Saccharomyces cerevisiae S288C: one gene and its partners. Changing the gene in region 1 together with any one later gene gives a genetic interaction. Each region holds a gene or a part of one and is shown in the gene's direction. Other genes may lie near its edges. The genes, in order: MPH1, SLX4, MAG1 and MMS4.

Evidence for each region.
Region 2: mutations in MPH1 (region 1) and SLX4 together harm fitness more than expected from each alone (negative genetic interaction), as found in Saccharomyces cerevisiae (3 studies listed by BioGRID).
Region 3: of MPH1 (region 1) and MAG1, changing one enhances a phenotype caused by changing the other (phenotypic enhancement), as found in Saccharomyces cerevisiae (4 studies listed by BioGRID, with this or other methods).
Region 4: mutations in MPH1 (region 1) and MMS4 impair growth when combined (synthetic growth defect), as found in Saccharomyces cerevisiae (5 studies listed by BioGRID, with this or other methods).

What each region holds. Positions count from the first base shown.
Region 1 is NC_001141.2:355,922-362,671, reverse strand, and holds MPH1 (3'-5' DNA helicase), read left to right. Parts: upstream 1-2,275; coding exon 2,276-5,257; downstream 5,258-6,750. Other genes in the region: AIM21 (Aim21p), read right to left, coding at 1-1,787; SGN1 (Sgn1p), read left to right, coding at 5,777-6,529. UniProt on the Saccharomyces cerevisiae protein: ATP-dependent DNA helicase involved in DNA damage repair by homologous recombination and in genome maintenance. Capable of unwinding D-loops. Plays a role in limiting crossover recombinants during mitotic DNA double-strand break (DSB) repair.
Region 2 is NC_001144.5:410,314-416,604, forward strand, and holds SLX4 (Slx4p), read left to right. Parts: upstream 1-2,967; coding exon 2,968-5,214; downstream 5,215-6,291. Other genes in the region: PDC5 (indolepyruvate decarboxylase 5), read left to right, coding at 410-2,101; TIS11 (Tis11p), read right to left, coding at 5,488-6,291. UniProt on the Saccharomyces cerevisiae protein: Regulatory subunit that interacts with and increases the activity of different structure-specific endonucleases. Has several distinct roles in protecting genome stability by resolving diverse forms of deleterious DNA structures.
Region 3 is NC_001137.3:453,070-457,575, reverse strand, and holds MAG1 (DNA-3-methyladenine glycosylase II), read left to right. Parts: upstream 1-1,539; coding exon 1,540-2,430; downstream 2,431-4,506. Other genes in the region: DDI1 (Ddi1p), read right to left, coding at 1-1,257; COX15 (Cox15p), read right to left, coding at 2,657-4,117; EMP65 (Emp65p), read right to left, coding at 4,341-4,506. UniProt on the Saccharomyces cerevisiae protein: Hydrolysis of the deoxyribose N-glycosidic bond to excise 3-methyladenine or 7-methyladenine from the damaged DNA polymer formed by alkylation lesions.
Region 4 is NC_001134.8:439,605-444,826, forward strand, and holds MMS4 (Mms4p), read left to right. Parts: upstream 1-1,910; coding exon 1,911-3,986; downstream 3,987-5,222. Other genes in the region: ubiquitin-binding serine/threonine protein kinase VPS15, read left to right, coding at 1-1,711; Hsp70 nucleotide exchange factor FES1, read right to left, coding at 4,217-5,089. UniProt on the Saccharomyces cerevisiae protein: Interacts with MUS81 to form a DNA structure-specific endonuclease with substrate preference for branched DNA structures with a 5'-end at the branch nick.

The sequences.
Region 1 (6,750 bases):
GGTAACTTTTCCTTTTCGTCCAGCTCAAAAGGACAAAGAGCAGCCTCCATCTTATTTGGAGATTGTTCTCGTTGTTCCTCGGGAATGCTCTTTGACTTTTCATCCAAGGCCCTTTCTGCTTGCTCACCAGGAGTAGTATCTATTAAGACTTTTTCCTTAGAGAAGGAAGAGGAAACATTCCAATTGTTAAATATTTCTATTTTATTAGTGTTGTCATCTTCTTCAATCTTCTCTACGCTAGCTACTTTAGAAGGTAATTTACGCCCACGAGGTCCTCTACCTCTTCTAGTTCCGCCCAGAGGTCCCGTTTTTGCCTGTGATTGGTCCTGGGGTCCTAGCTTAGATTCAGTATCCGGGGAGGACAACTTCTTCTCCAAGGAAGGTGGAAGCTGTCCAGGGTTCACCATACCAGGTAGCGCAAACAGTCCATTCAATTTGCTCGTAAAATCTGCCTTCGTGGTATCGCTAGTAATAGAAGAATCTGTGTGTTTTTTAGCAATATCTGCTGAAGCGGTAGTAGCTGAAGAATTACCATTATTATGCAGATCTTGTTGCTGTTGTTTTTGTAACATTTCTTGAAAGGCCGCAATTCTTGAAGAAGGTTTTTTGGGAACCGGAGGTGGGGCACGTCTCTTTGGTCTTTCAGAGGGAATTTTTGGGATTTTACTTTCCTCTTCGGTACTAATTAGGGTCGAATCACACTCTTCTGATACTCGCTTCTCTTGTGTGTTAGGCAACTCCTCTTTTTGTACGTGTGCTTCAAAATCCTTCTTAGGCCTACTCCTTGGAATCACTGGAACGTCATTTTCCTCTTCACTTGCAATTTGTGAAGGAACGTTTGAGCTAGTTGCTGCTATAACTGTTTCAGTATCAGAAGGTCCTTGCGGCTGAGAATTCACTTCCATGTTGTCCTTGCCTTCTTGTTTCTCATTCAAAGAGGTAGTACTTTCTTCATCGGTTGGATTTTGGAAAATTTTTTCTTCCTGTTGTTCTTGATGCTTCTGTAGCTCTTCTAAACTAGATTCAGGATGTTTAGTGAACTTTTCAGCTTTGTCGTCTGATTCTGTGATTCCAGATGGAGGCAGAGCATTGAGGCTGCCTTCTTCTACGTCCTTACTAACATCTACCTGTACTTTCATATCTCCAGGAATGAGCTTTTCTTCAAAATGGCTTCTATCCCCTGCCTCATTATCTAGGGCAGCATGTACCTTTTGCTTTTCAGTAAGGTCTTCGGAGTCACTATGCTCTGTCACTTCATTATTAGACTTGTTAACTAAATTAGAAGGTGAAATAGCAGACTCATTGCCCTCAGCACCCTCGTGCTCATTTTTTTCGAGTGGGGAGGGATTTGTAGAAGTTTTGTTATCTGATGCACTTCTTTGCCCGTTTTGATGAATGGCGGCCACCTTTCCCTCTTCCACAGAAGTTGGACTTTTTTTCCTGGAAACATTGTGTATATTGTGCTTTGAAATCAAACTTTCAATCTCCTCTAACTCCTTACTGGTGTTATTCATTACATTATTTAGTTCTTCAGTAGTGGAGCGTCTAACTGGCCTCTGCAATGGTACCTTGGGCAAACTCTCTTGATCCATACCACTCTCAAACGAAGTCATCGTCTTTGCTTTAAGTATGGGTCTACGTGTTGGTACATTGGGCGTTCCTGCTGGTGTTGGTGGCTCGCTATTAGCTTTAATATCTCCTGATTCAGAGCCGGATAACGGAAACAGCTCAGATGTCTTCCTCCTTGAGGGCCTCTCAGGTACTTTTGGCGTAACTTCCGATGGCATTGTATAATCGGTCAAAATAGATTTCCTGTTAGATCACCAACAAAACATGATACTTTCTAAATCAGAAAGCTTAAATTAAAATATACTCAATATTTCTCCTTTTCTTTTGCTTCGCGCCTGGTAAAACAAGATTGCTTTCATTGTGCATGTGGTAGAAAAGACAAGTTAAAAAAGGAGAATGTACTAACACAAAATTCAAACTCCAAAGGGGATAATTGCACTCAATTTGCAAGGTTGTTCCATATGAGACAGGAGTCTTCTTCTCCATCGACCTTCCTAGCTTACTGTGCTCACAGAAAGACATAAACCGGGTAACGGCTTTTACGGGGTTACGTGTGTATATAACCGGGCATCACGAAGAGATCAATAGAGGTGCCCTATGCTCTATCACGGAGCTAAGATATTGTGATTCAAGATATAGTAGCTCACTTCAGTTTTATTCAACACATTCCGGTTCTGTTTTATTTTAGTGTCCTTTTTTCTCTCTGATGGCTAGTGCAGATGATTACTTTAGTGATTTCGAAGATGACGAGCTGGATAAACTGTATGAAAAGGCTATCAATAAATCTGTGAAGGAAACTATAACGAGACGTGCTGTACCAGTTCAAAAAGACCTTCATGATAACGTTTTACCTGGGCAGAAAACTGTGTACGAAGAAATTCAAAGAGATGTCAGTTTTGGACCCACTCATCATGAGCTTGATTACGATGCTTTGTCGTTCTACGTGTACCCTACAAATTACGAGGTAAGGGATTATCAGTATACAATTGTTCACAAATCACTGTTTCAAAATACGTTATGCGCCATCCCAACGGGTATGGGTAAAACGTTCATTGCCAGTACAGTAATGTTAAATTATTTTCGTTGGACCAAAAAAGCCAAAATAATCTTTACTGCTCCAACAAGACCTTTGGTAGCCCAGCAAATTAAGGCATGCTTAGGTATAACAGGAATACCTTCGGATCAAACTGCTATATTACTCGATAAAAGCAGGAAAAATAGAGAAGAAATTTGGGCCAATAAGAGAGTTTTCTTTGCCACACCGCAAGTAGTGGAGAATGACTTGAAGAGGGGTGTATTGGATCCTAAGGATATTGTATGTCTTGTCATCGATGAAGCTCACAGAGCTACTGGCTCCTCTGCGTATACAAATGTGGTAAAATTCATAGATAGGTTCAATTCATCATACAGATTATTAGCATTGACCGCTACACCAGCCTCTGACCTGGAAGGTGTCCAAGAAGTGGTTAATAACTTAGATATTTCCAAGATTGAAATTAGGACTGAAGAAAGCATGGATATCGTGAAATATATGAAGAAAAGAAAAAAGGAAAAAATTGAAGTGCCCCTTTTGTTGGAAATTGAAGACATAATCGAACAATTAGGTATGGCCGTCAAACCAGTGCTTCAACAGGCAATTGAACTCGGTATATATGAGGAATGTGACCCTTCACAAATAAACGCCTTCAAAGCCATGCAACAAAGCCAAAAAATTATTGCTAACCCTACTATACCTGAAGGAATTAAGTGGAGGAACTTCTTTATTTTACAGTTATTGAACAATGTGGGTCAAATGCTAAAGAGATTAAAAATTTATGGAATAAGGACATTTTTCAATTACTTCCAGAATAAATGTACAGAATTCACTACGAAATATAATCTTAAAAAATCTACTAATAAAATTGCAGCTGAGTTTTATTACCATCCGATTTTGAAAAACATCAAAAATCAATGCGAAAATTATTTAAGTGATCCAAAGTTTGTCGGTCATGGGAAGTTACAATGTGTTAGAGATGAACTAATGGACTTTTTTCAGAAAAGGGGTTCCGACTCGAGGGTTATTATTTTTACAGAATTAAGAGAAAGCGCACTTGAAATTGTGAAGTTCATAGACTCGGTAGCTGACGATCAAATCAGGCCTCATATTTTTATTGGACAAGCTCGTGCAAAAGAAGGTTTTGATGAGGTCAAATACACAAGAAAACATGCGCCAAAGGGAAGGAAGAAGGTAGAGAGATTGCATAGGCAAGAGCAAGAGAAATTTTTGGAAGCTGAACGAACTAAGAGAGCGGCGAATGATAAACTTGAAAGAAGTGCCAGACGAACGGGGAGCTCTGAAGAGGCTCAGATTAGCGGAATGAACCAAAAAATGCAAAAAGAGGTTATCCATAATTTCAAAAAGGGTGAATATAATGTTCTCGTTTGTACATCAATTGGAGAAGAAGGTTTGGATATCGGAGAAGTTGATTTAATAATCTGTTATGATACTACAAGTAGTCCAATCAAAAATATTCAGCGTATGGGTAGAACAGGCAGAAAACGAGATGGTAAGATAGTACTACTGTTTAGCAGTAATGAATCATACAAATTCGAGCGTGCTATGGAAGACTATTCAACCCTGCAAGCGCTTATATCCAAGCAATGCATTGACTATAAAAAATCAGATCGGATAATCCCTGAAGACATTATTCCGGAATGTCACGAGACATTGATCACGATTAATGATGAAAACGAAATAATTAATGAAATGGAAGATGTTGACGAAGTTATTCGTTATGCGACTCAGTGTATGATGGGCAAAAAGGTGAAGCCAAAAAAAGCCATAACAAAGAAGAAGAGAGTTCAGGAAAATAAAAAACCGAAGAAGTTCTTTATGCCTGATAATGTTGAGACCAGTATTGTTAGTGCAAGCACTTTAATTAATAAGTTCTTGGTGAATGAAAGTGGCGGGAAACAACTAGTAACGAGTAATGAAAACCCAAGTAAGAAGCGGAAGATTTTTAAAGCTTTGGATAATCTGGAGAATGATTCAACCGAGGAAGCTTCCTCCTCATTAGAAACTGAAGATGAAGAAGTCAGTGATGATAATAATGTTTTCATTGCGGAAGGGCAGAATGGATGCCAAAAAGATTTGGAAACTGCCATTATTCGCACTGGCGAAAGTCTTACCACACTCAAGCCACTTCATAATTTTGAACGCCCTAATATGGCTTTATTTGTGAATGATTGTGGTCTTCCAACTAAAATCGAGAAAAATGTGAAAGACATCCGAGGAAATCAACACAACCTTGAAAAAGAAAAGAGCTGTACTGTTGACAAGAATAACATGGTATTGAGTTTGGACGATTGGAATTTTTTCAGAAACCGCTATATCCCAGAAGGTGTTTCCTTCGATGTGGAGCCCAATTTTGTACAATACACCAAAGGGGTAAAAGTTCCGCATTGTCACAAAGTTTCAAAAATCATTACGTTATTTAACGACGAGAGTAATGATAATAAGAAGAGGACAATTGATATGAACTATACTAAATGTTTGGCGAGAGGCATGTTACGAGACGAAAAAAAATTTGTAAAAGTTAACGATAAAAGTCAAGTCGATAACAACAGTGTCAACCATGATTCATCCCAATCTTTTACCTTATCGAACGCAGAATTAGATGACATACTGGGCTCAGATTCTGATTTTTGATAGGAGACTCTTATACGTCGGCGTCTATACAAAAATAACGCTGCTGTAATATTTAAGTATTTATAGATTTTTCTATATATCGCATAAATACTTCAAGGACATTATATTTTTAGTATCAACTTATTTTCTTTAGAATTTTTCATTCATTAAGGATACGGCACTGTTTTTGAAGCAACAAAATATAAAAATTGAGCCAACGACGAGTACAATCTGTAATCTTCCACGCCTACCAATGCAAAACCTTTCTGTCATGAAGCACTAAGCATAGCGCTTCAATTTGTGGCAATCACCATAATAAACAGCTTGTTTCTTGGAGGATATGAAAAAGATTATCAATCATTCGTTAGGTGAAAAAAAACCGCAACAATTTCCTACACTCCGAAAAGTAACCTTAAAATGCAGCAAATTTCAAATTTAATTTTGATTAAGTAAGTAATCTCAACTTTCGCTCTCCAACCAGGCCTATTAACATAAACATATATCTGCTGTCACATAGTGTCATCATTTGCAATTGCTGTTATGTCCCAGGAAGAGAAAGTGGATGCTAAGGCAACCTTAAAGACTGAAATTTCGAACAATAAAAAGAACGACAAGCAAGAGCTCGAGCTGGATGAACTTGTGGGTAAACTATCTATCGAGGGCACTCCACAGGTGTCGCAAAAGCTAAGCAAGGAGGAAAAACACGCTCATCAACTTGAAGCTGACTCGCGTTCTATCTTTGTCGGTAACATCACTCCGGATGTCACCCCAGAGCAAATAGAAGATCATTTCAAAGACTGTGGCCAGATAAAAAGAATAACACTTCTTTATGATAGGAATACGGGAACACCAAAAGGCTACGGCTATATTGAATTTGAAAGTCCGGCATACAGAGAAAAAGCCCTGCAATTAAATGGAGGAGAACTTAAAGGCAAAAAAATTGCTGTCTCCAGAAAAAGAACTAACATTCCAGGATTTAATAGGCATTACAACTCGCAAAACCAGTATTTCCAACAATGGCAATGGAATTATCCCTTAATGGCCTACCCCAATCCCGATACCTTCCCTTATTACCCACCGTACCCTCCAAATCAGTCTCCAAATCAAAATTTCGGATATAATAAGAACAATTATTATAGGAGTCCTTACAATAACAAGAATAGAACCTTCCAAAAAAAACACTTCAACAGTGCCAAAGACTCTACAAAAAATATTAGATCTACTTCCCAAAAACCTGTTGTCATGCCGTCTGACAACGTTAAAAGTTCTACCCAAGAAAAAGATTCGAAATAAACACAAGGCTTTCATGTGTATACTTAATAATAATTAAGTGAGCTGCTGCTTTGAATAAGTTGAAGGACAACTGGTGTTATCTCGCTTGTCTATCCAAACCTTCAAGAATAGGGTAAATGCAAAAGCAAATATAAAATGCCACAACTACAATCAAAAAAAGAAATGTCATCGCTTGTTACAATATTTTCATTCCTTTATTCAAGGATTTTTTTTTTTAATTT
Region 2 (6,291 bases), on another chromosome or scaffold:
TCCTTCTGATGCATACTTTATGCGTTTATGCGTTTTGCGCCCCTTGGAAAAAAATTGATTCTCATCGTAAATGCATACTACATGCGTTTATGGGAAAAGCCTCCATATCCAAAGGTCGCGTTTCTTTTAGAAAAACTAATACGTAAACCTGCATTAAGGTAAGATTATATCAGAAAATGTGTTGCAAGAAATGCATTATGCAATTTTTTGATTATGACAATCTCTCGAAAGAAATTTCATATGATGAGACTTGAATAATGCAGCGGCGCTTGCTAAAAGAACTTGTATATAAGAGCTGCCATTCTCGATCAATATACTGTAGTAAGTCCTTTCCTCTCTTTCTTATTACACTTATTTCACATAATCAATCTCAAAGAGAACAACACAATACAATAACAAGAAGAACAAAATGTCTGAAATAACCTTAGGTAAATATTTATTTGAAAGATTGAGCCAAGTCAACTGTAACACCGTCTTCGGTTTGCCAGGTGACTTTAACTTGTCTCTTTTGGATAAGCTTTATGAAGTCAAAGGTATGAGATGGGCTGGTAACGCTAACGAATTGAACGCTGCCTATGCTGCTGATGGTTACGCTCGTATCAAGGGTATGTCCTGTATTATTACCACCTTCGGTGTTGGTGAATTGTCTGCTTTGAATGGTATTGCCGGTTCTTACGCTGAACATGTCGGTGTTTTGCACGTTGTTGGTGTTCCATCCATCTCTTCTCAAGCTAAGCAATTGTTGTTGCATCATACCTTGGGTAACGGTGACTTCACTGTTTTCCACAGAATGTCTGCCAACATTTCTGAAACCACTGCCATGATCACTGATATTGCTAACGCTCCAGCTGAAATTGACAGATGTATCAGAACCACCTACACTACCCAAAGACCAGTCTACTTGGGTTTGCCAGCTAACTTGGTTGACTTGAACGTCCCAGCCAAGTTATTGGAAACTCCAATTGACTTGTCTTTGAAGCCAAACGACGCTGAAGCTGAAGCTGAAGTTGTTAGAACTGTTGTTGAATTGATCAAGGATGCTAAGAACCCAGTTATCTTGGCTGATGCTTGTGCTTCTAGACATGATGTCAAGGCTGAAACTAAGAAGTTGATGGACTTGACTCAATTCCCAGTTTACGTCACCCCAATGGGTAAGGGTGCTATTGACGAACAACACCCAAGATACGGTGGTGTTTACGTTGGTACCTTGTCTAGACCAGAAGTTAAGAAGGCTGTAGAATCTGCTGATTTGATATTGTCTATCGGTGCTTTGTTGTCTGATTTCAATACCGGTTCTTTCTCTTACTCCTACAAGACCAAAAATATCGTTGAATTCCACTCTGACCACATCAAGATCAGAAACGCCACCTTCCCAGGTGTTCAAATGAAATTTGCCTTGCAAAAATTGTTGGATGCTATTCCAGAAGTCGTCAAGGACTACAAACCTGTTGCTGTCCCAGCTAGAGTTCCAATTACCAAGTCTACTCCAGCTAACACTCCAATGAAGCAAGAATGGATGTGGAACCATTTGGGTAACTTCTTGAGAGAAGGTGATATTGTTATTGCTGAAACCGGTACTTCCGCCTTCGGTATTAACCAAACTACTTTCCCAACAGATGTATACGCTATCGTCCAAGTCTTGTGGGGTTCCATTGGTTTCACAGTCGGCGCTCTATTGGGTGCTACTATGGCCGCTGAAGAACTTGATCCAAAGAAGAGAGTTATTTTATTCATTGGTGACGGTTCTCTACAATTGACTGTTCAAGAAATCTCTACCATGATTAGATGGGGTTTGAAGCCATACATTTTTGTCTTGAATAACAACGGTTACACCATTGAAAAATTGATTCACGGTCCTCATGCCGAATATAATGAAATTCAAGGTTGGGACCACTTGGCCTTATTGCCAACTTTTGGTGCTAGAAACTACGAAACCCACAGAGTTGCTACCACTGGTGAATGGGAAAAGTTGACTCAAGACAAGGACTTCCAAGACAACTCTAAGATTAGAATGATTGAAGTTATGTTGCCAGTCTTTGATGCTCCACAAAACTTGGTTAAACAAGCTCAATTGACTGCCGCTACTAACGCTAAACAATAAGCTAATTAACATAAAACTCATGATTCAACGTTTGTGTATTTTTTTACTTTTGAAGGTTATAGATGTTTAGGTAAATAATTGGCATAGATATAGTTTTAGTATAATAAATTTCTGATTTGGTTTAAAATATCAACTATTTTTTTTCACATATGTTCTTGTAATTACTTTTCTGTCCTGTCTTCCAGGTTAAAGATTAGCTTCTAATATTTTAGGTGGTTTATTATTTAATTTTATGCTGATTAATTTATTTACTTTCGTATTCGGTTTTGTACCTTTAGCTATGATCTTAGCTAATTGAAGAGGGTGGTGTGATCTTTAACCATACCTTATTATCTTTCAGCTGCTTACCATTTTCTTATATTGATTTTTAGCGAAAGATTTTTATTCACAAGCTTTTTTTATCCTTAATGCTCGAATACTACAACAAAACAAAAAACATTAAACAGTTTTTAATTTTGTGAACAAACTGAATTACAAGGCCTTACATCTTATTTAGAATATATTAAGAAACAGAGGCCAACATGCCTTCTTAATTATATTGATATGGACCTCTGTCCTTCCTAAAAACGGGTTTTTGTTCGATGAAAAATCACCAGTAGAGCACCATATATGAATTTACAATCATTGTAGGGAAAAGAAAACTTGTTCTGCTTCGCCAATTGATTTCATTTCTTTTTTTCCTTTGTTTTTGTTGTATACTATTAATATGCGTAGTTCTTTGTCACTTAGTGGTTTTTTGTTTAATTTATAACGCGAAAGCTGCATACTAAAAATATAGAGATGAATGGAACTCCGAACAAGCAAGAGAGATATTATCTATCTCTGTTCCATAATAATAACCAGTAGTTCAGTTGGGGAACTTAATAATGGAACTTCAGAGGGCACAACGGAATTTGAAGTTTTTACAAAACGAGGATTATGTGAACGTTACCGATCAAACTAACCTGAATGGAGAGAGCCAGAATGCTTACTCTTTAGGAATGGAAACTCAAGTACCGGAAATGCAGTTTTCCTTATCATCTGATGATGATTCAATAGGTACGCAAGTAAAAAGCGTAACTGCACAAAAATCGCCTATGACGCAAGAGACTACGAAAAACGATACAGAAAGAAATAAAGATGTTGATAAAAGTTGTAACCCAGTCAGCACTTCCCATCCCGATTTAGGCGGATCAAATATCGAGGAGAACATATTCATTAACACTCAAATTCAAAGCCGACTTGATGACGCAGAGGAAGAAACAAATCTTAAGTTAAAACTTGAAAAATTCAAGTATTCGTTCAAGAGTAGTAACGCAGATGATACCCACAGCAATGCAAATGTAACAGCTAAAAGAAGACCAGCAATAAGGAAGGCTAATTCGAAACTCAAAACAAAACCTAAAACTAAACGAGACCCTAAAATTATCAAAAATATAACTGATTTCAATATTAATAACTACGAACGTTCAAGGACTGCCAGCTTATTAAAGCAATTATCAGGTAAGCACAAGAAGGTTTTGGACATAATAAAGACGCAAAATGAAGGAAACAGTGATAAACCTCCCAGAGCAAGGAATAACAAGGGTGAAAAAGCTACTTTTGATACATATAGTGAACAGGAGTGGAAAGATATTATGAAACTTCTTCTACAAAAGTTTCCGCAAAGTGAGGAAACGGATTTGAATGAAGTCCAGAAATTTTTATATGGAAGCGAAAAAAGCTCGAATTCTCTAGACAATCAAGAATCCTCACAACAAAGACTTTGGACAGCATCACAATTACCACCCGAGCTTCCCGATGAGGCTATTCAACCAGAGCAGGAAGAAAGGATACGCGATACCCAAAGTGCAGTAAATTTCTTATCGTTGTCTCAAGTAATGGATGACAAAAGTGAAATTATGAAAGACGAAGAAAGCATAATTATTTCACGGGGAGATTCTACAAGCTCTCAAGAATATGGAAACGGGTTAGAGCCACAACAACCGGTAGGAAATGTTGTTGGTGAAGATATTGAACTGGCTGTGGGAACACGTATAAATGCATTTTCACTGACAGATTATAAAGCTTGCAAACCTATGTCTGTTGAGGTAAGTAGAAGATGCGAAAACAGTACGGATAATGATTATGACAATATTTCTATTGTCTCAGATACTACAGATGAGACATCCACATTGTTTCCACTAGACCAGTATCGGTATGTTTTCATTGAAAATGATGAAAGACCACCATTAGCCACCGACACGATAGGCAGCACACAGTTTTTCACTCCAAACACATCGCCTTTGGATGGGATAATCGATTTAACACAGGAATCATTCAAAGCTGTTCGATCGTTAATATCACCTTTGAAAGTAGAAAACAACAAAACAGGGGTAACATCACAAGCATCAAATCAGGTTCAGGTACCAGCTACAAGAACCCCTACAATTATTCCTCAAAAGAACCTTACTACAACTTTAAAAACTGAAGAAGAAAAGAATAACATAGGAAGTTCCATCAGAGTTAAATTATTGCAAGAAAGCGTAGTTAAGCTAAACCCCAAACTGGTGAAACATAACTTTTATAGAGTTGAGGCAAATGATTCTGAAGAAGAGGAGACAGAATTTGATGACCAATTCTGCATTGCTGATATCCAATTGGTAGATTCCTCCAAAATTTCGACTAAAGATTCTACACAAAATCCTACTACTAGCAACGACATTATTGATACCTCTGCAGCTAGTTCCATAGCTTCTCCCGAGAAATTTTGTGAGATCATGATGTCCCAATCAATGAAAGAGCTTCGACAAAGCTTGAAAACAGTGGGGTTGAAACCTATGAGGACGAAGGTTGAAATCATTCAATCCTTACAAACTGCATCTCAAATTCTGTCCACAGCTAATCCAGATAATAAAGGTGAGCATGGTGGGGTGGCAAATTTCAGTAAGATAGAAATATTTGATCATTTAACCGAACTAATTGAAGCCTTCCCTGATTTTTTGGAGCGAATATATACCTTTGAACCCATTCCGCTAAATGAGCTAATTGAAAAGCTGTTCAGCGCCGAGCCATTTGTTTCGCAAATCGACGAAATGACCATCAGAGAATGGGCCGATGTTCAAGGAATATGTCTGAGAAACGATAAAAAGTAGTGCCGAATGATTGAGAATTTGACAAAACAAAAACAAAACAAAACAAACGTTACGTATAGATGAAGAATACACGTACACAAATATGCATATATACCGTCATGAAGTAGCTTAACTTAAATAAAAGTTTTTTTTTTTTAGAGTTACCAATATCGCAAACATGAAAATGAGAATAAAAAAAAAAAAGCAGAAAAAAAAAAAGCATAACATGGAGAAAAAAATAATAAATAATTGAGTTTAGTTGAGACGCCGGTCTTCGCCAGGCCAGGAATTGTTTCACCAGGTCATTCTCTGCAAAGCCTTTACTTTAACATTTAGATTCTTCTTCTTGGCGGAGCCGCGACCATTGCTTCTCTTTTCGTCTGATTGTTTGCTAGTCGAAGAGACGTTACAGTAAGTACCAGCTTTCACGTAAACAGCAATGTCGTTGTCGTCGCCATGTTTGAAGCAGCATCTTCTGCCATAAGGACAATAACCTAGTTTCTCCCAATTCACACAGGGCTTCGTCCTGAAATTCTTGCACGATTTCTTAACCTTTAATTCGCCGAGTCCGTGAGCAAACTGACACTTACTGCCATAAGGGCAACTTCCTTTTAAAGTGAATGATTCGCACAGCTCTGTCTTGTATAATTGTTTGGGAGTTTCCTGCACTTGGCTTTTCACCTTAGGTTGAGCTGAGGATTCCTTCTCTGATGAAAAAGAAGCATCATTTTTGGGCTTTTGTTGAGACAACTGTTGCAAATTCTGTGAAGTTAATGGTAATTGTGAAGATTTTGGGACATAGTCCGGATTTATTTGTACCTCTAGTTTCTTTTTAAAAGTAGTAGGTGCCGTGCTATTCAGGTGAGCGGATGGGAGAAAAGGGTTCATTAACTGTGGATCATACAGTAGCCCCGGTTGAATAGCGTTTGTATTTTTTGGTGGAGAGAATGAAACTGCCGAAGATATTTCACTGCTTGTTTCCTGTATGTTATCCTCGTTTAAAATCGTCTTGTTGTAATACTCCTCCAGTTCCCTAATATTGATCTGGTACTGGTAGTCATTTAATGGATTTTGCTCTTGATCTGTGGAAAACAACGA
Region 3 (4,506 bases), on another chromosome or scaffold:
TGCATTTCCGTTAGTCTGTTTAAGAGCCTTTACCACAGCATCCCTAGGGAAACCTAGATCCATAAGCTGTTTAATCGTTTGTTCGGGAAACGTTCTCCCGGTTGCCGTTGTAGCACCGGCTGTACTTCTTCCCGTAGGTGTTGGCCCCATACCAGTCCTTGGAGCAAGCGCAGGAACAGCCCCCGGTTGTGGTGGTAGAGTTGAACTAGTCTTGGTGGGTGTTAGGGGCTTATCAGACGAAGTTGTAACTGACGTTGGTGCTGGAAGTCCTTCTTGAAAACTTTTTGGGATTTCCGCTTCACTCAAAAAGCTTGTCTCCACTTCTGCTATCCTAAGAACGTTTTCCTTTAAGTCCACACAAGCCAAATGCCTTTTCAGCATGTCTAGTCCTATCAAAACATCGATGTCAGTATCTAAGACGGTAAAACTGCATGGAATATATTGTGTTTCTATTTTGACTTGGGCTTGGTGAATTCTCCCAATAATTTTGCCGGTTCCTACGCCACGAGCTTCTCCAATAAATCTCTTGTCAATCATTCTCGACAGGCCAGTTTTCTTCGCTAACCTGGTGGACATAATCGTTGTTTGAGCCCCTGTATCTACAAATGCCTTTACGGGGTAGTTATTTATTTCGATATTAATGTAAAGCATAGGGACCTGGGTAAACATTTCAGGTGTATATTCGATAGCATTGCGCAACTGTTCATCGATAGCTTGTTGGTCTAAAAGCTCTGCAATCCTCTTCTTGTTGTCAGGATCATCGGGGTTGGCCATTAGTCTAGTATATTCATCTTGGGGGATGCCAAAAGGATTCATGGCGGTGTTATAGCCACCATAACGTCTTTGTAATATGAGCGGGCCCAATCTTTCCCTAAACAACAGTGGGTCATTTACTAAATCATTCAATCCAGGGATTTGCAAAATGAGTTGTGATCTAAGCATTTGATTATTAAGTAGCTCTTGTCTAAATTGCTCTATGAACGCTTCGTCGGACAAAGTAGCAGCATCTGTTTGAATGGAATTGGAAATCTTACCCCTAATCAATAATAAGTCATCGGTTTTGAGCCCTAGTTCTTTTAAAGACTGAGTTCTGTTTGAGTCTAGAATGTCCATATTGTAATATAAGTCGTGTTTTGTTTTGTCAAACCCGCAATCGGCCTGCAGTAATGCTATTAGATCAGTTAAAGCCATATCTTCACTGACTTCAATTGGGCCGTATATCTCGCCAGTAAGTTCGTTTGAAATTGTTAAATCCATCTTTACGTATATTTTTGCTGTTATGTTTGGTATGTACTTTGTTAACTACGTTAAGTATACTTTCTTATTCGACCTACTTTATATATCATTTTGGTATTATTATCTTTTCGGTGGCGATGAATTTACAGGGCGGGGTGGCGACGGGAATTCTTACATAAAGTTTAAGTTATCTATGAATCAATGAGAATTGGCCACTGCCCTCTGATATGACGATGGAAGTGGTACTTTTCCTTTTTAATTTTTTACTGAGAATCAAGAGAAGCTAGAGAGGGATTGGTCTCAATGAAACTAAAAAGGGAGTATGATGAGTTAATAAAAGCAGACGCTGTTAAGGAAATAGCAAAAGAATTAGGGTCTCGACCTCTAGAGGTTGCTCTTCCTGAGAAATATATTGCTAGACATGAAGAAAAGTTCAATATGGCTTGCGAACACATTTTAGAGAAAGATCCATCACTTTTTCCCATACTTAAGAATAATGAATTTACGTTGTACTTGAAGGAGACTCAAGTCCCTAATACACTCGAAGATTATTTTATTAGGCTTGCAAGCACAATTTTGTCTCAACAGATCAGTGGCCAAGCAGCTGAAAGCATCAAGGCAAGGGTTGTCAGTCTTTATGGCGGTGCATTTCCTGATTACAAAATCCTTTTCGAAGACTTCAAAGACCCAGCAAAATGTGCAGAAATCGCAAAATGTGGATTGAGTAAAAGGAAAATGATATATCTAGAGTCTCTTGCTGTCTATTTTACTGAAAAATATAAGGATATCGAAAAGCTCTTCGGTCAAAAAGATAATGATGAGGAAGTGATTGAAAGTTTAGTTACGAATGTAAAAGGTATAGGCCCATGGAGTGCCAAAATGTTCTTGATCTCCGGATTGAAAAGAATGGATGTATTTGCTCCTGAAGATCTAGGTATTGCTAGGGGTTTTTCAAAATACCTTTCAGATAAGCCAGAATTGGAAAAAGAATTAATGCGTGAAAGAAAAGTAGTTAAAAAGAGTAAGATTAAGCATAAGAAATACAACTGGAAAATATATGACGACGACATAATGGAAAAATGCTCTGAAACATTTTCTCCGTATAGGTCTGTGTTTATGTTCATACTTTGGAGGCTCGCGAGCACAAATACAGATGCCATGATGAAGGCAGAAGAAAATTTCGTGAAATCCTAACTTAAAGATATCATGTATTACTGACATTTATATAAGAAAAAAAAAAATAAAAATAAATACACCCTATTGTTGTGTGTGATGCCTACTAAAGAAATTCATATTTACAGCTTCTCGTAGGGATACCAACATATAATAAGAAAAAGCCTCACACATACAATCCAACCATTGGAGCGACAAAGCGGAAAAGCGAGTATACTGTCAATTCTCATAAGAATACCTTTATCCATTATAATGGTTTCGAGGCTAACTTCGACGCTTCACTTAAAATTTTACCGCTAGTTACTTTGCTTGAATGTGGCAAGGTAATGATTACGTTTCTCATCGGAGCTCTTGGCTTCCTTAATTGAGAGGCAAACACCAAAGAACTTGTTAGCAACGCCAAAGCACCAGCTTGATGGATAGAAGCTAACGATATTGGGACTAGGTACAATATAGTTAAAATACCAAGTGTTGCTTGTAAAGTAACGACGCCCATCATAACATGCAAAGAGGTCATCGCGTTCCTTGGAATTACGGCCTTCTTTTTGATAGCGTACATATGAGCAGCTAGTACTGATGTAAACGCAACGTACGCACATGTCCTATGGACCAACTGAACTGTAACCGGGTTTTCTAGCAAATTCCTCCACCACAGATCTTTCTTGTCCTCTCTTCTACAGAAGTTTTCGTCCATTAATTCACGAGAACTAGGGAACCATCGTTCACCCATTTTTGGCCAGGTGTTATAGACCCAACCAGCATCCAAACCGGCAACCATACCGCCACTCATAGCGGTAAGGAAAGACACCGCTAACAAAGCTAAAGAAATCTTTCTCATTGGGCCAATTGCGGGATTATCTAATTTTTTGAAGAGACTAATGGCTTGAACAGGGTTCTTAATCCATTTACATTCTCTCAATATTTCCAAACCAGTCCAGAGCATACCCATGTATAAAAAGAAGGCGGTACCCAAATGCGTAGTAAGTCTATATTGAGAAACGGTAGGCTTTGATTTTCTTGCGTCTAGTTGCTCTTGATCAAGACCAGACTTCACCATCCACCAACCAACAAATCCTTGTAATCCTAATAAACCTGCGAGACCAAACAACCTCTTATTGACATGGCCTGAAGTTTTTTTAGATACAGCGAAATAAACTGCAGGTAATATAAAAACAGCGCCGATAGCACGACCCCACAATCTATGAATCCACTCCATAAAAAATATAAACTTGAACTCGTCTAAATCAATGTGAGAATTCAACAATTTAAATTCTGGTGATTCCTTATACTTGATAAATTCTTCTTCCCATTCCTTCTGGTTCATAGGGGGCAAAGTACCTGTGACAGGTTTCCATTCGGTAATACTCAGCCCCGATTCTGTTAGTCTAGTCAACCCACCAAGAACAACAATACCAAATACCAAACCGGATGTACCTATTAACCAGTAAGCAACATTCTTCGAGGTCTTCAAACGTGATTCTATAGGGTTTGATTCTGAAGCAACATGTGGTTTAAAAACAGGGGAGGAGAGAGAAAATGGACGGATGCTCACAGTTTTCTTAAAATTATATAGTTGAGTCTTTCTGATTTGTTGTCTGATGGTAGAAATATTCCTTGAGGCCCCAATACTTTGCCAGGCCAAACGACTCGAGGTTCTCGTTAATAGCTTAGCTGCCTGCCTGCCCACTTCTATGTTTCTGAAAAGCATGACGTACAGTAGTTACAACTTCAGTGCTGTGCACTATTATATAATACAGTTCCAAGTTACAATAGGAAACTAAATAAACGATAAAGGAAAGATCAATAATTCAAAAGGCAAGAACTTATAAACTGCAAAACAATAGCTTTTTAGTAAGCAGGGTTTCTTTTTTGCTCCTTGCAATATACGAAATATCCGAAAGCCGTAAGCCGCGATAAATGCGGATCTTAGATTACCATATTCTTTTAGAAACCATTTTATAGCGAGCGACATTTTCAAGCGATCGTGGATTCTTGGAATCTTTCTGTCTTCTAATATCATTTAGGCTAGGAGGAGTACATTCAGCAGTTAAAGTAGTTTTTCTTTTCCGCATTGGCGATACACTTTCGGTCTCTATA
Region 4 (5,222 bases), on another chromosome or scaffold:
AGCGAACCCTGATTTTCCATATAATAATAGTAATTACCGTCCATTAGTACAGAACTCACCACCTAACCTAAACCTTACGAATATTATGCCAAGAAACATTTTCTTTGATGTAGAGTTTGCTGAAGAGTCGACAAGTGAGGGACAAGATTCTAACTTAGAGAACCAACAGATATATAAATATGATGAAAGTGAGAAAGATAGCAATAAGCTAAATATTAACGGTAGCAAACAGCTATCTACCGTCATGGACATAAATGGATCACTAATATTCAAAAATAAGTCCATTGCCACTACTACTTCTAATTTGAAGAACGTTTTTGTTCAGTTAGAACCAACGTCCTATCACATGCATTCTCCAAATCATGGCTTGAAAGATAATGCAAATGTTAAACCAGAAAGGAAGGTAGTCGTCAGCAACAGCTATGAAGGCGACGTTGAAAGCATAGAAAAATTCCTATCGACTTTCAAAATTTTACCTCCTCTGAGAGATTATAAGGAGTTTGGGCCTATTCAAGAGATTGTACGGAGTCCAAACATGGGTAATTTGAGGGGCAAGTTGATAGCTACTTTGATGGAAAACGAACCCAATTCTATTACGTCTTCTGCTGTTTCTCCAGGAGAAACACCCTATTTAATAACAGGTTCAGATCAAGGTGTAATCAAGATTTGGAACCTGAAAGAGATTATCGTGGGCGAGGTTTACTCTTCTTCTTTAACTTATGACTGCTCCTCTACCGTAACTCAGATAACCATGATTCCTAACTTTGACGCGTTTGCCGTTTCCAGTAAAGATGGACAAATAATTGTATTAAAGGTTAATCATTACCAACAAGAAAGTGAAGTCAAATTTTTGAATTGCGAATGCATCAGGAAAATTAACTTGAAGAATTTTGGTAAAAATGAATACGCAGTGAGAATGAGAGCATTTGTGAATGAGGAAAAATCTCTACTAGTAGCATTGACGAATTTGTCAAGGGTTATTATATTTGATATTAGAACCCTGGAGAGGTTACAAATTATAGAGAATTCTCCAAGGCATGGTGCCGTTTCAAGCATCTGTATCGATGAAGAGTGTTGTGTCCTAATTTTGGGGACGACTAGAGGTATTATTGATATATGGGATATCCGTTTCAACGTGCTGATAAGGAGTTGGTCCTTTGGGGACCACGCACCAATCACGCATGTGGAGGTTTGTCAGTTTTATGGAAAGAATTCTGTAATTGTTGTAGGAGGTAGTTCAAAAACATTTCTAACAATATGGAATTTTGTTAAGGGGCATTGTCAGTATGCTTTCATAAATTCTGATGAACAGCCATCTATGGAGCACTTTTTACCAATTGAGAAAGGCTTAGAAGAATTAAATTTTTGTGGAATCAGGTCTTTAAACGCACTAAGCACTATCTCAGTATCTAATGATAAAATTCTTCTTACCGATGAAGCAACAAGTTCCATTGTTATGTTTAGCCTAAATGAGCTTTCTTCTTCTAAAGCAGTAATAAGTCCTTCAAGATTCAGTGACGTTTTTATTCCTACACAAGTTACGGCAAATCTCACAATGTTATTGAGAAAAATGAAACGTACTAGCACTCATTCAGTAGATGATTCTCTATATCATCATGATATTATAAATTCTATATCTACATGTGAAGTTGATGAGACACCTTTGCTGGTTGCTTGTGATAACTCAGGGCTTATTGGAATCTTCCAATAATTTTTTTTATTTTATTCAGCTTCTTTATTCTAAATGCGTATAAATTTGTATTCACCTTAAACATTTTCGATCATTTAGGAAAGGGCTTGCAACGCGTTGAAGTACCCTTTTCACGAAAAAAATGGTTGTATACGTAAATAAAGAACAATGTATGGATTATGGTATAGAATAATAGTAGTCACATATTGCAGCTAGTTAAATGAGCCAGATCGTTGATTTTGTTGAGGACAAAGATTCAAGAAACGATGCCAGTATTCAGATCATCGATGGACCCTCAAATGTTGAAATTATCGCTCTCTCGGAATCAATGGATCAAGATGAGTGCAAAAGGGCACATGTAAGCTCTGCAGAGATGATTCCATCATCACCGCAAAGAAAATCTGTTTCGAATGATGTTGAGAATGTTGACCTAAACAAATCTATCGAACTTTCTGCGCCGTTCTTCCAAGATATCAGTATAAGCAAGCTAGATGACTTTTCTACAACAGTAAATTCCATCATAGATTCGTCTCTCAGAAATGAGAATAATGCAAAAGGAAACGCGAAAAAACTTTTGGATGATCTAATAAGTGATGAATGGTCAGCTGATCTTGAGTCGAGTGGAAAGAAGCACAACAAATCACAATACAATTTGAGGGACATCGCAGAGAAATGGGGAGTACAGTCTTTAAAAAATCCAGAGCCTATTGCTGTTGACTGCGAATATAAGACACAAGGAATCGGAAAAACCAATAGTGACATTAGTGATAGTCCGAAATCACAGATAGGAGCAGCTGATATACTGTTCGATTTTCCACTGTCTCCAGTAAAACATGAGAACCCAACTGAAGAAAAGCACAATTCGATTGCTAATGAAAATTCTTCACCAGATAATAGCCTGAAACCAGCAGGAAAACAAAATCATGGTGAAGATGGGACATCCATGGCAAAAAGGGTATACAATAAAGGTGAAGACGAGCAAGAACACCTTCCGAAAGGAAAGAAGAGAACCATAGCGTTATCAAGAACACTAATCAACAGCACCAAACTACCTGATACAGTAGAACTAAATCTTTCTAAATTTCTCGATTCCTCAGATAGTATTACTACTGATGTACTTTCAACCCCTGCAAAGGGGTCTAACATAGTAAGGACAGGTAGTCAACCAATCTTTAGCAACGCTAATTGTTTTCAGGAAGCAAAACGCTCGAAAACATTAACGGCTGAGGATCCCAAATGTACTAAAAATACTGCCAGAGAGGTATCACAACTAGAGAATTATATTGCCTATGGGCAATACTATACTAGAGAAGACTCAAAAAACAAAATACGACACTTGTTAAAAGAAAACAAAAATGCTTTTAAGCGAGTTAACCAGATATATCGAGATAATATAAAAGCACGCTCTCAAATGATTATAGAGTTTTCGCCTAGCCTTCTCCAGTTATTTAAAAAAGGAGACAGTGATCTGCAACAACAATTGGCACCAGCAGTTGTGCAATCAAGCTATAACGATTCTATGCCGCTTTTAAGATTTCTTCGAAAATGTGACAGTATTTACGACTTTAGTAACGATTTCTATTACCCCTGTGATCCCAAAATAGTTGAAGAAAACGTTTTGATTCTATATTATGATGCGCAAGAATTTTTTGAACAATACACTTCACAAAAGAAAGAATTATATAGGAAGATACGATTTTTCTCAAAGAATGGAAAACATGTGATTCTTATACTAAGCGATATAAATAAACTCAAAAGAGCTATTTTCCAATTAGAAAATGAAAAGTACAAAGCTAGGGTAGAACAACGATTGTCAGGAACAGAAGAAGCTTTAAGACCGAGAAGTAAAAAATCAAGCCAAGTTGGAAAATTAGGGATAAAAAAATTTGATTTAGAGCAACGATTGCGCTTCATTGATAGAGAATGGCATGTCAAAATACATACTGTAAATTCACATATGGAGTTTATTAATTCTCTGCCGAACCTAGTGTCATTAATTGGAAAACAGCGCATGGATCCCGCAATTCGGTATATGAAATATGCTCATTTGAATGTAAAATCCGCTCAGGATAGTACAGAAACGCTAAAGAAAACCTTTCATCAGATAGGGAGAATGCCTGAAATGAAGGCGAATAATGTCGTGAGCCTATACCCCAGTTTTCAATCATTACTTGAAGATATTGAAAAGGGAAGACTGCAATCAGACAACGAAGGTAAATACTTGATGACTGAGGCAGTAGAAAAAAGATTGTACAAACTGTTTACTTGTACTGATCCAAATGATACTATTGAATGATGATCGAACGAAACTTTGTATATAAGAACATACCTTAAGGCAGTCGTTTTGAAAATCACTGCAGCTCTATTTCCCCCTCCTTACCTTTTTAATGAATTCCATTTTACAGAAAGTACTATTGATAAATATTCGTAATAAAATAAAACAGTGTTAATAATAAATGTTCGAGATTCCGGTTAAAGATAATATGAAATGGTGAATGTAATATCATTTTATTTCTACGGACGTAATCATAATACATACTTTACGGCTAAATAATCGTCTTCATTAAGTCTGTCCTTTAGAGGCTCGATATGTTTGTAACCTTCGTTCAATTTGTGCAATTCCTGTTCATTAAATTTTATTCCGGAAGATATCAGGTGAGAGAGAAAAGACAGAACTCTATCTATGATGTTCAAGTTACTCTCGTCAGACAAGCACTCAATCGTACTTTCAATTACTCCATCCTTTCTCAGCACACTGATTATATTTTCATCAATCTTAACAGATGACAAATATGCGGTCAATAAGGCAATGGCTCTCATTTTCAGTTTTGGTTTGGCGGTGTTATCACTTAATACAGGTGCTATGCAGTCGAGCCCATTTAATTTGAAAAACTTTTCTGAGATATCTTTGTGGTTTCTTATTAGATTAGATAGTGCGTAAAAAGCTTTTGTTCTCACGTCGAGTGGCTTTGTCTTGTCACTAGCTATTTCGATAAGGCTTCGCAGACCATTGTCGTATTTCATGAAATTATTTTGCGAATCCAAGTTGTTTTGCACAGCCGTTCCAATAATGGATAAAGCAGCAGCACGTAGTTCTTCATCCTTCGTCTGAACAAGAACATCCAACAATGGCTCCCACAGTTTTAAATTTTCGATATTATTAGCATTATCTAAGTTCTCAATCAACATTTCAAAGTTGTCAAATGCAACGAGTTTTGTTTCTAAGTCAACCTCCGGATTCATAATAACAGCCATGGATTCTTTCATTAAGGTTGGATCGTCAGGACCACCACCACCGAATAACTGCTGTAGCAATTTAGGATCAGGTTGGCCGGCCCTAGCCATAGCTTCTTTGTCCCCTTGAGAATTCGCAATAGACCACTGTAATAGCTTTTCCATAGTTATGTATGTGTTTTTTTTTCTATTTTACTCTTTCGTTGAAAGGTAATGGCTTTCTGACTGACGATGAGTGCTCTTTTAGATATAGCCAATCGCTGGTTTATAAGCAAATTTCTGTCAGCGCGAGATGCCT